Sus scrofa: one gene and its partners. The protein of the gene in region 3 purifies or fractionates together with the protein of the main gene of each other region. This does not show direct contact. Links are inferred from orthologs where the notes say so. Each region holds a gene or a part of one and is shown on either strand. Other genes may lie near its edges. The genes, in order: ING3, MBTD1 and EPC2.

Region 1 (3,738 bases), on a different chromosome or scaffold from region 3:
TTAAAAAAAAGGAAACAAACTGAGCAGTGAAGGGCTAAATATATCACAGCTGAACAGACGCGGGGAGGAGTCGAAGATAGAAAAAGACAACGCCCTGGACTACAGACGTCAAATACAGGCTATTTACTCAACGTAATTATTGTTAAGTTATTGCTAAGACAGACAATTAGATGGTAAGGCTCCACCCGTTATTTCTGTTTGCTCACTTATTAATGTTTCGGGTGCAGGTATAGCTATATAGATCAATTACATTAGAACGACTAGATGGACTGCAAAATAGAATGCAGTGGCTACTGAGAACCATTTGTGCATCTTTTAATATGGTAAATACATAATTCACTCAATATTCTGAGTGTAAACTGTTTTAGTTCTATGTCAGCCAACCAGATGTCCCATTTATATTTTTAGGAGCGGATACGGAGGATAAATTCCAACAGTGAGTTCTGTTTTGAACACTTCCAATTGCCCGAACTTTGCCGATTATTCTAGCGTTAGAACCCTTGCCGTTTGCCTCACACTACTTGAAATCCATGACTCATAAACGCCAGGACATGGAATTGCGGCAGTAAAGAACAGGTGAAAAGTTGTTCCTAGTTGTGTTCTGTAGGCGCATACAACTCCCATCACTACCCGTGCAAAAATCAACAAATAAACAGAGGCACCGCATTTCAGATTCTGCTGCGCACCGTTCGCAATGGCACCTGGTTTTTGTAGTTTGCAAGGGGAGGACTACCAGCGTGTTCTTTCTTGCTGGGGAGGGACGAAAACTACACTTCCCACAAAGGCGCGGGGGCGTGCTCCGCTCGGCTTACGTCACCTCTTCAGCCAGCCAATGACCACTCCGGGCGGCAGTGAGGCAGGCGCCGTCAGGCGCCAAAGTGGGTTTTTTTTTTTCTTTTTTTTTTTTTTCCGCCGAAGCCGAGCGGGTGCTGCTAGCGGAGGCGCCATATTGGAAGGGACAAAACTCCGGCGACAGCGAGTGACACAAATAAACCCCTGGACCCCCTCGCTCCCCCAGCTCTAAGGGCCGCGATGTTGTACCTAGAGGACTATCTAGAAAGTGAGTGGGCGGCGCCGGCGGGCCCGACTGGGGGACCTGAGGGCGGGCGAGAGCAGGAGTGGACGGGCTGGCGGGCTGGCGGGAGGGAGGGGGAGGCGGGGGATGTTTCTTTCTCACGGTAACTGGCAGCCTCGTTGTGGGCTGCCGGCTCCCTCGCGCCCCCCCCACGCACGCACGCACGCACGCACGCAGCGACGTCGGCGCGTACTTTCGCCGTTGGCCCCGCCCTTCTGACTGACTTTCCCATTGACAGTGATTGAGCAGCTGCCAATGGACCTGAGGGACCGCTTCACGGAGATGCGCGAGATGGATCTGCAGGTGCAGAGTAAGTCGGCGCGTTTGCCCTTGTTCGCTGCGCGCGTTCAGTGCCAGACTTACTTGCCATCGACGCCAGCACCTCTGCTGTTTGACTCTCCTCCGGCTCCCTCGCTAGTACATCATAAGGAGTTGTCAAAAAGAACCGGCAATGCCGAATCTTGGCTCTTCTGTTTCCCACGCTACTTTTCTTCTGGCTTTTACAAAAGAAGGTGGCATCAGAGCACATGTGCACCTTTTTTTTTTTTTCGAATTTGAGACTGTACAATAAAAGTTTCTGTACCTTCATTAAGAATGTAGACATATGTTTTAGTGAACGTTGGCATCAATGTTGCGAAGACTTTGACTTGAGACTTCACGTATAGAACATAGCGGCATTTATGTATTTGTTAAAATTCATTCTAGTCAAAATTCAAGAGAGGAAATGCATATGGAAGCACAGGTTATATGTAGTTCTTTAGAGACCCTGGTGAACTTAGAATGTCCAATTTGAAAAGTTACACATTATAGGATACATTCTCAATTGTCAACAGCATGATAGTTTCTCAATCAAACATGAGAAAGGAAATTGGATTTTACTGTAAAGCTGCTTGTCTACTGTAACAAAAACTTTGGCTTTTGGTCTTTCAGTTATACTTTGTTAATCCGAAGACTTTTTCCCAAAAATAACTTGGCCCTTTCATAGAGCAGTATTTAGTTTATAGGATCATTTTTTTTCTGTGAAGTTTCTTTTAAAGAGTTTACGATTCAGAGAAGATAAAGAATAAATACCTTTATAAAGAATAAAAAGATAAGTACAGGAAAATTACACTTCAAAACAAGAAAACAGTGTTGAGTGCCAAGTGTACACTCATCATGCTCTGAAAGAACCTCACACACCTTTCCCCTTTGTGAAACGAATATAGCTGTTACCACTGTCTTGTAGAAATCCTATATTAAAAATTAAGAATGTGAATAATGTGATCCATAATTAAAATGTTTAATCAAGTGTACTTTGTTGGCTGTCTGTCACTCTTGTTTGGAGAAACGTAAGTACTGTTTAATTGCTTAAATAATATTAATGGCTGGCCTTCATAGGGTATATCTGCAGAGATAATGCCATTAGTTATGCTGTAGGCCACAGGGGAAGTCTAATAGGGTATATCAACAGAAGATGTTTCCTGATCACATGTATCCCATGTTTAGACTATGCATAGGATATTTCTTGTGCTGACAGATTTTCTTCTCAGAGAAGTAAGGCTGGGGGGAACATCTGGGTTTGGGGATGTGATAAGGAGGAAAAGAGTATCATGGAAAGAGATCAGAGAATAGAACCTTTCAGAGTGTGGTAGTCTTGAGGTAGCCCCCATCCCCCACCTCCCGCCTCCCTTCTCTGCCCCACCAGCACCACACATACTTCCATACCCATTGTTCACAAATATTCTTTTCTCAGCCTCCTGCCAGTTTCGTGTGGTGCATGAAACAAGGTAATATGTCTTGGAAGCCACCTTCTGTTCAGTGGATTGTAGTGTGGAAATCTGAGTTGTGTGTTTCTCCAGCTTGCTCACAAAATTCATTTTAACTTTAATGTATTTGAAATGCTAAAGATTTGCTAGAGAAGTGTTTTGTATAGGCTTGAGCATGGATTTTGTTGTCCAGCAAATCTGAGTTTATTTTAGAGCTTTAGAAACTTACTCATTGACCTTGACCACATTGCCACTTCTCCGGGATTTATTGTCTGTAAAATGAGAATCATCATGAAGATTAAAAATAATAGAGATAAATTAGAGCATATAGTACCTGATACAAAGTGAGCATTCAATAAAAGGTAGCTATTATACTTTTTCATGATTACAAATTTTTAAGTTCTTTAGTAATCTGGACTTGAATATGTAAGTTAGAGTTTTTTTTAAACTTGAATTTGTATAATAATTGTTTAAAGTTAATAGCTATTATAGATTAACAAAAGAGATCTCTGTCAAATAAGTTAGGAGATGGACTGTTACGCACTGAATATCTCAAAAATGATACAGTAAAAAGGTTTTCCTCAATTTGCAGAGCAACAAAATCCCTTTTGTTTATTTTTCATTTTTAAATAGACATAGAGCAGAATGACTATATTTAGCACACATTTCAGGAAGAGCTTATCTGGAATAAATAATATTATGCATTAAGTGAATAAATGATTAATCCCTGCTTTCAGTCATGATGGGAGATGATGGGCTACTTAATGGTACATAGCAAGAGGTTGAAATCTTTTTATCTCATCCCTTATTGAAAGAAATCCAATGAGAAATTGTACTTTGGCACATTTGGCTGACTTAGTAACATTAGGTTTTGACCCCAAGACTGTACTATTCAGCAGCTATAATATAGCATCTGTC
Region 2 (3,655 bases), on a different chromosome or scaffold from region 3:
CAGCCCCTGGCCCAGGAACTTCTACATGCCATCGGTGTGGCCAAAAAAAATTTTTCTTGGGACTTCCCATGATGACTCAGTGGGTTAAGAACCCAACTAGTATCCTTGAAGATGTCGGTTCAATCCCTGGCCTCGCTCAGGGAGTTAAGGATCTGGCGTTGTCGTGAGCTGTGGTGTAGGTCACAGACGTTGCTCGCATCTTGTGTTGCTGTGGCTGTGGTGTAGGCCAGCAGCTCCAGCTCTGATTCAACCCCTAGCCTGGGAACCTCCATATGCCACAGGTGCAGCCCTAACTCTGATTTTTTTTTTTTTTTTAATCTTTTTTCCCCCAACATAGGAAGCCACAGATTTTTTTTCTTCATGAAACTTGTGGAATATTTTGCTCTGAGATATGGTTATTTTTATTTAAAGTTTTTTTTTTAAGTAAAAAGTACATTCGAGGATTAAAATTAAAACAGATTTTTCCAACTAACTTGCCCTATGTTCAAGGATCCCCTGTGGCATATGGAAGTTGATTGAACCTGAACCACAGCAATAACCTGAACCACTGCAGTGACAGCACTGGATCCTTAACCATCTGTGCCACAAGGAAAATCCAGCCCTTATCTTTTTGATCATAAATGTTTGTTTATAATTTCTTCAGTGAGAAACCTAACTTCTAGCAGCCAGTGCAGTGGTTCTTTGGTTTCCTCCGCATAAAAAACCCATATCAGCCTCACAGTAGTGATAACCATCAGGCCCCTAACCCTCTCTTTCATATTATAGACATAAGCCTCCTACAGTCCCAGAATTGTTTTGCCACCCAGCTGCTTACCATGTTTGATCACTAAGCTTTCTCTAAGGCTGAGTAGTACAGGCCGCTTTGGCCTGTCTTTTCACATTTTATTTGATAAGACTTTGAGATATCAGGATTTTCTTTCCATAATGTGTGGAATTTCAGAACATTTTTTATTACTTAGTAACTGTGTGATGTATGTTTTTTAGATCTAATTTCTGAGCATTGTATGCACAGATCGCATACCTCAGTTGGTGTAACTCTTACTGGGTTTGTGGCTTATGGGGTGTAATGATTTTGAATGAATGGGCTAGGGACATGGGAAGAAATGTGAAATTAATAAAGTGGTAATATCATTATCCTAGTTTTTAGTGATAACAGTACTAGATTTCAGGATTAGCTGAAAAACTGGATATAGCTACAATATGATGTGTCCTTTAACTTTTAGTAGCTCTTAATATTATGACATCATCTCCAATGCCTTTAAATTGTCCTTTGGACATAAAAAAGAACTGTGGACCCACAGTCCCTTATTAGAAATCCTTAGGCCAGATGTGTTTTGAAATTTAGAATTATTTGGATTTTAGAAAAGAAGTACATTGTTTGTAGCATATATTATGTAACATCCCTTGTAGGCTCTGCAGCATTTCCCAAAGCAAAATATGCATAAATAGTTACATTTAATGGGCTAAATAAAGGTTATAAATAGTATACCAAGTAAGGTCTGGTTTTGTCGCCAAAGTTGTGCCGAAAAAACTTTGAATTTTTGGAATTAAGGATAAGGAATTGTAGTTCTGTGTGCATGAAGAGGCAGTCTTCTTGTAAGGGTACTCTTTGCTCCTTTAATTTTTTTTTCACATTACTCGGCAGCAAGTAGTTTATTACAACCTTTTCACACAAAACTTTATTTACCAAAATAAGAAAGAATTGGGGGGTCCAAGAACTTAAGTCATCCATTGTATGCAGATTTATGTCAGACAGGCTACAAAACCTATTTGGTTTTAAGGTTGTCTACAGATTATTATATTCTGGTTCTGTTGTTTCATCTTTGGTCTTACTGTACCTAAAATCATCCGTCAGTATATTCTTTTGGTAGGGCTTACTTTTTACAGAAATAGATTGGCTTCATTGTCCTAGCTTGTCTTTTGATTAGCTGTGTATGAACATGCTTTATAGCATGAGGGGATAACTATTAACCAGTGCTGTTGAGAAATAAGAGTTACGTTCTGTCAAGAGGATCATTGTATGCAAGTCATCTATCCAATCTGAAAAGCCTTTTTTTCCTCAAGGTTTAATAATTCTAGAGCAGGAAAATCAACACTAATTTCTGTACCATCTTCAGGGGCTTTTGTAAGTAGTAGAAAGGTAGAAACTCTCCTGGCATTTTTATCTCCAAGTGTGTGGTACATTAGACTCTTGTCTACATGATTGCTGCAAATGATTTTGGTTTGGCAGTTGAGAATTAAATGTGTACTCATAGGAGCTTGGTTTCCAGATCATTTTACATAGGAATACTGTCTGACTTGTATTTATCTTTTTAGTCCTAATTTTGCAAAGCATAATTTCTAATTGATCCTGCCTGGGTCATTTGTAAGAAAAAAAAAAAAAAAAACACTCTTAAAGAAAACATGTAATTTATAGTCACAAAGCTATGTAAGTATCCTTCAGCTTTCAACCTATTAATGCAGAATGCTTGTTTATTCAATATTCGCAGAGCTTAGATTATTATTTGTTGGTGGTGAAAGCATTGTGTAAGTCTTCGAAGGTTTTTGTGTGCTTATGAAACTCTAATGAAAAGTGTTTTAGAAGAAATTAGATTGCTTACAAACATGCAGTCAACAAATGTTTAAACTTTAGAACTGCTTTTCAGATTAAGAATTATGACTTTCCTGAAAGAGTGGATTATAAACCGAAAGTTAGAGAAGTACATTTCATATCAGTAAAGTCCTGCCACGTGTCAAATACATTTATTAAATTGTTTGATTTCTCTCTGAAGGACAGTGTTTGTCTTACATGGGCAGCCACTGACTTTGGCCTGCAAGTAGGGTTTTTAAACCCTCTCTCTTCTAGTGGATTTTCAGTCCCCTCAAATTAAAATTTTCCCAATTAGCCAGCTAATTCTTCACACTCAGTGCTCTCTATAGTTCATTTTGCTTTCTTTTGTTTTCAATGGAGAGTCAGGATCCAGGATTTGGACTTGCAGAGACTAGAAATAATCACCTGTCATCCATTCCGCAGCCCACGCACGCACACATACATGCCCACCCACCCCTTGGTTTTAGAAATGCAAACCTTGCATAGTTGGCTCTCTTTTCAGAGTACCCTATGCAATGCAGCCTTTCCTAGTTATGATGCACTTTTCTTACCACACATGTAAGTAAAAGCTTACTTTAGTTTGACTTGATATTTAGAGAGGAAGATGCCAAGTGGGAAGAAGCCTGTCAGTTTGTCGAGCCTACCCATGACAGGTGGGCTGCGGAGGAGCTTCTCTGGTGACGAAGAGTTGACTCCTCCTCCATATCGAACCCTTCCAGCACAGACAGCCTCGGAGGCCTTCCCACCTCCCCGCACTAGCCGAGAGTTCAGTCCCAGCCTCAAAACAGGTAATTAGTCCCATCAGCACCTCAGGTACTGCAGAGGGTCAAGGTCTGGGTTCGGGTCGGGGGAGCGAAGGCGGGGGAGAGAAGGCATGGTCTGGCGTGACAGATGCTGGCTCATTAAATTTTTCTTTTTCTTTCAACTGAAAATTTCATTTTCACTAGTTCTTGATAGTCACTTCACTAAGATGAATCATCAGGGAAAGACTTTTATTTTGTTATAAGCCACTTCTGAGCTTCAAATTCAGATAGAGCTGTAATTTCAGTTTATGAAATTGCGAGA
Region 3 (3,655 bases):
CTCGGACCAATGCTTCCAGTAAACATTGTGAAAATAGACTGTCCCTTTCTGAAATATTAAGCAATATCAGATCATGTCGACTACAGTGTTTCCAGCCAAGGCTACTAAATTTACAGGACAGTGATAGTGAAGAATGTACCTCAAGAAAACCAGGGCAGACTGTGAATAATAAAAGAGTTTCTGCAGCATCTGTAGCTTTATTGAACACCAGCAAGAATGGCATATCAGGTAAGCTGTCACTTTGTTAAAAATATATTCTTCTATTCTCTTCTCTATAATTTTTATTATCTTCTAAGTAGACTCCGAGGTTTTATTTTGAAGGTTTATTTTTCATGATCCTACTGAAGAAAGGAATTATATCTTAATTTACTAGTTTTTTTTTTCTTCCAACCTAAGAAACTAAACTATTATCGTAGATCACATTTTAACCAAAATCAATTTATCCTAATTGATACCTGTAAAACCACTGACTTGTATTTTGAATGTGTGTGCCTGATATGGTGAATGTGTAGGCAAAATGCATGGGGAATTCCCAATGGGCAAAGTGGTTATAAGCTGCTACCAGGTTATCATAGCACAATGTTGTCTACTTTTGTTAAAGAAAATTTTCATTTTATTGTATTAACTTTGCTTAAATGTAAGCATTGCTACTCAAGAGTACCACTGAAAAGCTTTCTTTCTGAAAAATGATTTTTAAAGAAGCTCCTTTTGATAATTGTACTTGTGGTCTGATAGCTTACCTCTCTAATTGAGATTGGAAATTTTTTTTCATTTTAAGAGACTGTACTCAAAATAATGTAATAATATTAGACATTGTAAATAGTGTATAATATATAGAGAGTCTTAAATTTTGATTTGTTTCCTTCTTTTTGTCACATGTATATAAGTATGTATAATTTATAAATGTCTTTATAATGTATACATTGCAAAAAATTCATGGTATCCAGAGGCAAAACTATATGTGATGACATAAACAGTTGATATCCTTTCTTTCTGTAAAACATATATATTTCTAAATTATTTACTGGATGGTGCAGTTTAGTATGCAAAATCATTATGTTAAACTTCTTCAAAGTGAATTTAAATCATTTTAGCTTGAAATTGGTCTCAATAATGTTCAGTCTTTTTAAATTACTGAACTGTTTATTTTCAAACTTGACTTAGACATTTATCTATTTAAAGGTTGTAATGGAAAATTGGATTTGTTTGAATGATTGGAAGTTGGCATATCATTTCTCCAAATTAGTTGGTTAATTTTCTCCCAAACGAATTTAGGTAAGGAAAATGGCATCCCGTTATATAAAGTTCATGAGTCTGTGCAGTTTAATGAGCCTTTGAAACTGAAATGGATAAATACCTAGTATGATTTTGATGGTAGGATTCTTCGAAATCTAAAAATAGTAGGAAGTTGACGAATATTAGGTCAAATCTTTTCTTCAGCCAACTCCAAGACATTGTTCAAATTAACTGAACTAGAATTTCTGTGCCAAAAATTACAATAATTTTTGCCAAAAAGGGAATTTAAAAACATCACGTATAGGCATTTATAATTAGACTTGACTATAGATTTCTTTCTCTACCAGTGTATACCATAACAAAAAGGTGATTTTAATGTGTCCCGTCTTACCTTGAACATGGCCAGATATTTGCAGCTTTCTACTATATGTTCCTGATTCATTCCAGATCTGTTTGACTTGATTCTTTTCCAGAAAATATATGTTTTGTGTGTTATTGTATCAGTACTCTGTTTGTATGGATTCAGAATGTAGTGTAAATAATTCTATAGAGTCAGCTCCAGAATTTTATGACGCTTCTGCACATCAACATAAAATAAGCATTGAAAGTATTATTTTAGGCATGCATGCCTTTCTCAGGGAACTTAAATCACAAATATGAGATGCTAGGGGTTCCCATCATGGCACATTAGAAACGAAGCCAACTAAGAACGATGAGGTTTCGTGTTTGATCCCTGGGCTCGCTTAGTGGGTTGAGGATCTGGTGTTGCTGTGAGCTGTGGTGTAGGTCGCAGACGCAGCTCAGATCTGATGTTGCTTGTGGCTGTGGTGCAGGCCTGCAGCTGCAGCTCTGATTGGACCCCTTGCCTGGGAACCTCCATAAGCCACAGGTGTGGCTCTAAAAGAAAAAAAGATATGAGATGCTAATGTCATAGACAGTAAGAATTTTTAAAATTTTTGCCCTTCCCTTGCCGTTAGAAAAAAATAGTAGTTTTGGTCTGTGCAATTTTTCCTGCCTTAGGTATATTATATAATAGTACTCTGTCTCAATTTACCAGCTCCTTCTTCTCTTAAAAAATTTCAAGGCTTGAGCAAGTACTAAGCTACATTAGAATCAATATTTTCAAATCAAGTCCTTCAAATAGATATTTAATATTCCGTTACTAGTGTAAAGGATTTTGTTTGAAGTTTATTTGACACTCTAGTCATTGAGGGTTTTTTTGCTATTTTAGGGCTGCACCCTCAACATGTGGAAGTTCCCAGCCTAGGGGTCAAATCAGAGCTGTAGCCGATGGCCTGTACCACAGCCACAGCAACGCAGGATCCAAGCCATGTCCACGACCTACACCACAGGTCACGGCAGCGTGGGATCTTTGACCCACTGAGCAAAGCCAGGGATCGAACTATGTCCTCATGTATCCTAATTAGGTTTGTTAACCACTGAGCCACAAAGGGAACTCACAGGTGTTTTTGTTTTTAACAGATTTATTTTGTTTCAAAATATTAAGCATGATGTGTAAGTATATAATGAAACAAGTCCTTTAACAGCATTTTTGTAGATAACTGAAAAGCTGTGGCAGTTTTAAGTACTCATCTGTACCAATTACATTCATTACATAGTTTCTCAGTTTAAGTGGATTCAGTTATAGTTCAGTAATTATTGGTAGAAATTCCTTTTCTACCTAAAGAGGATATAGGAATTTTTAGAAAGTTACATTTGTATATTTGATGGACGTATACGAAAGAATTGAATCTTCGTGTATTTGGTTTCTTTTTATCTATGTGTCTTTAACGTTTTTGCCTTCTGCTTATTCTCAGGAGATCATGCATGTCTCTAAGAGTAACAAGACTGATAAAGGACCATACTTTTACCTAGCAGAGAGTGTCACTAAGCTAGACAAAATATACGGAATTTTCTGTTTCACACCTGGGAAATCCCAACAAATAAAGGGTTTAATCAGAAATAGAAAGATGATACACTTGACAGTAATATTTATGTGTATCACAGGTTCCTTCATTCTTTTAAAAAACCCTTGAGCATGAGGGCTCATGGCAAAGAATTGTCTTACTTTGATGTGGTTATTTAATAACCCAGTCAATGTTTTTAAGTCATAATCCCTGTGTCCTGAATATATTCTAATTATTATTATTTTTAATAATCATATGAGTGGACTTAAAGGAGAACAAATTGAACTGAGTGTCATAGGTATTAGTAAGAGCTAAAACTAAAGACTTCCTTTTAAGTGTTCCTGCTGTGGTTCAGTGGGTTAAGAATCTGACTGCAGTGGCTCAGGTTACTGCAGGAGTTCGGGGTTCAATCCCCAGCCCAGCACAGTGGGTTAGAGGCTGCTGTAGCGTAGGTCGCAGTTGCCACTCAGATTCAGTCTGATCGCAGATTCAGTCAGGTCGCAGTTGCCACT

The links.
Region 1: the proteins of EPC2 (region 3) and ING3 purify together in Homo sapiens (affinity purification with mass spectrometry; 3 studies listed by BioGRID and IntAct, with this or other methods). This does not show direct contact. The link is inferred for Sus scrofa from reciprocal best matches to the Homo sapiens genes EPC2 and ING3.
Region 2: the proteins of EPC2 (region 3) and MBTD1 purify together in Homo sapiens (affinity purification with mass spectrometry; 3 studies listed by BioGRID and IntAct, with this or other methods). This does not show direct contact. The link is inferred for Sus scrofa from reciprocal best matches to the Homo sapiens genes EPC2 and MBTD1.

The regions. Positions count from the first base shown.
Region 1 is NC_010460.4:25,973,659-25,977,396, reverse strand, and holds the start of ING3 (inhibitor of growth protein 3), read left to right. Parts: upstream 1-897; 5' UTR 898-1,032; coding exon 1,033-1,060; intron 1,061-1,313; coding exon 1,314-1,385; intron 1,386-3,738. UniProt on the Homo sapiens protein: Component of the NuA4 histone acetyltransferase (HAT) complex which is involved in transcriptional activation of select genes principally by acetylation of nucleosomal histones H4 and H2A.
Region 2 is NC_010454.4:27,460,225-27,463,879, reverse strand, and holds part of MBTD1 (MBT domain-containing protein 1), read left to right. Parts: intron 1-3,186; coding exon 3,187-3,378; intron 3,379-3,655. UniProt on the Homo sapiens protein: Chromatin reader component of the NuA4 histone acetyltransferase complex, a multiprotein complex involved in transcriptional activation of select genes principally by acetylation of nucleosomal histones H4 and H2A.
Region 3 is NC_010457.5:3,432,070-3,435,724, reverse strand, and holds part of EPC2 (enhancer of polycomb homolog 2), read left to right. Parts: coding exon 1-228; intron 229-3,655. UniProt on the Homo sapiens protein: May play a role in transcription or DNA repair.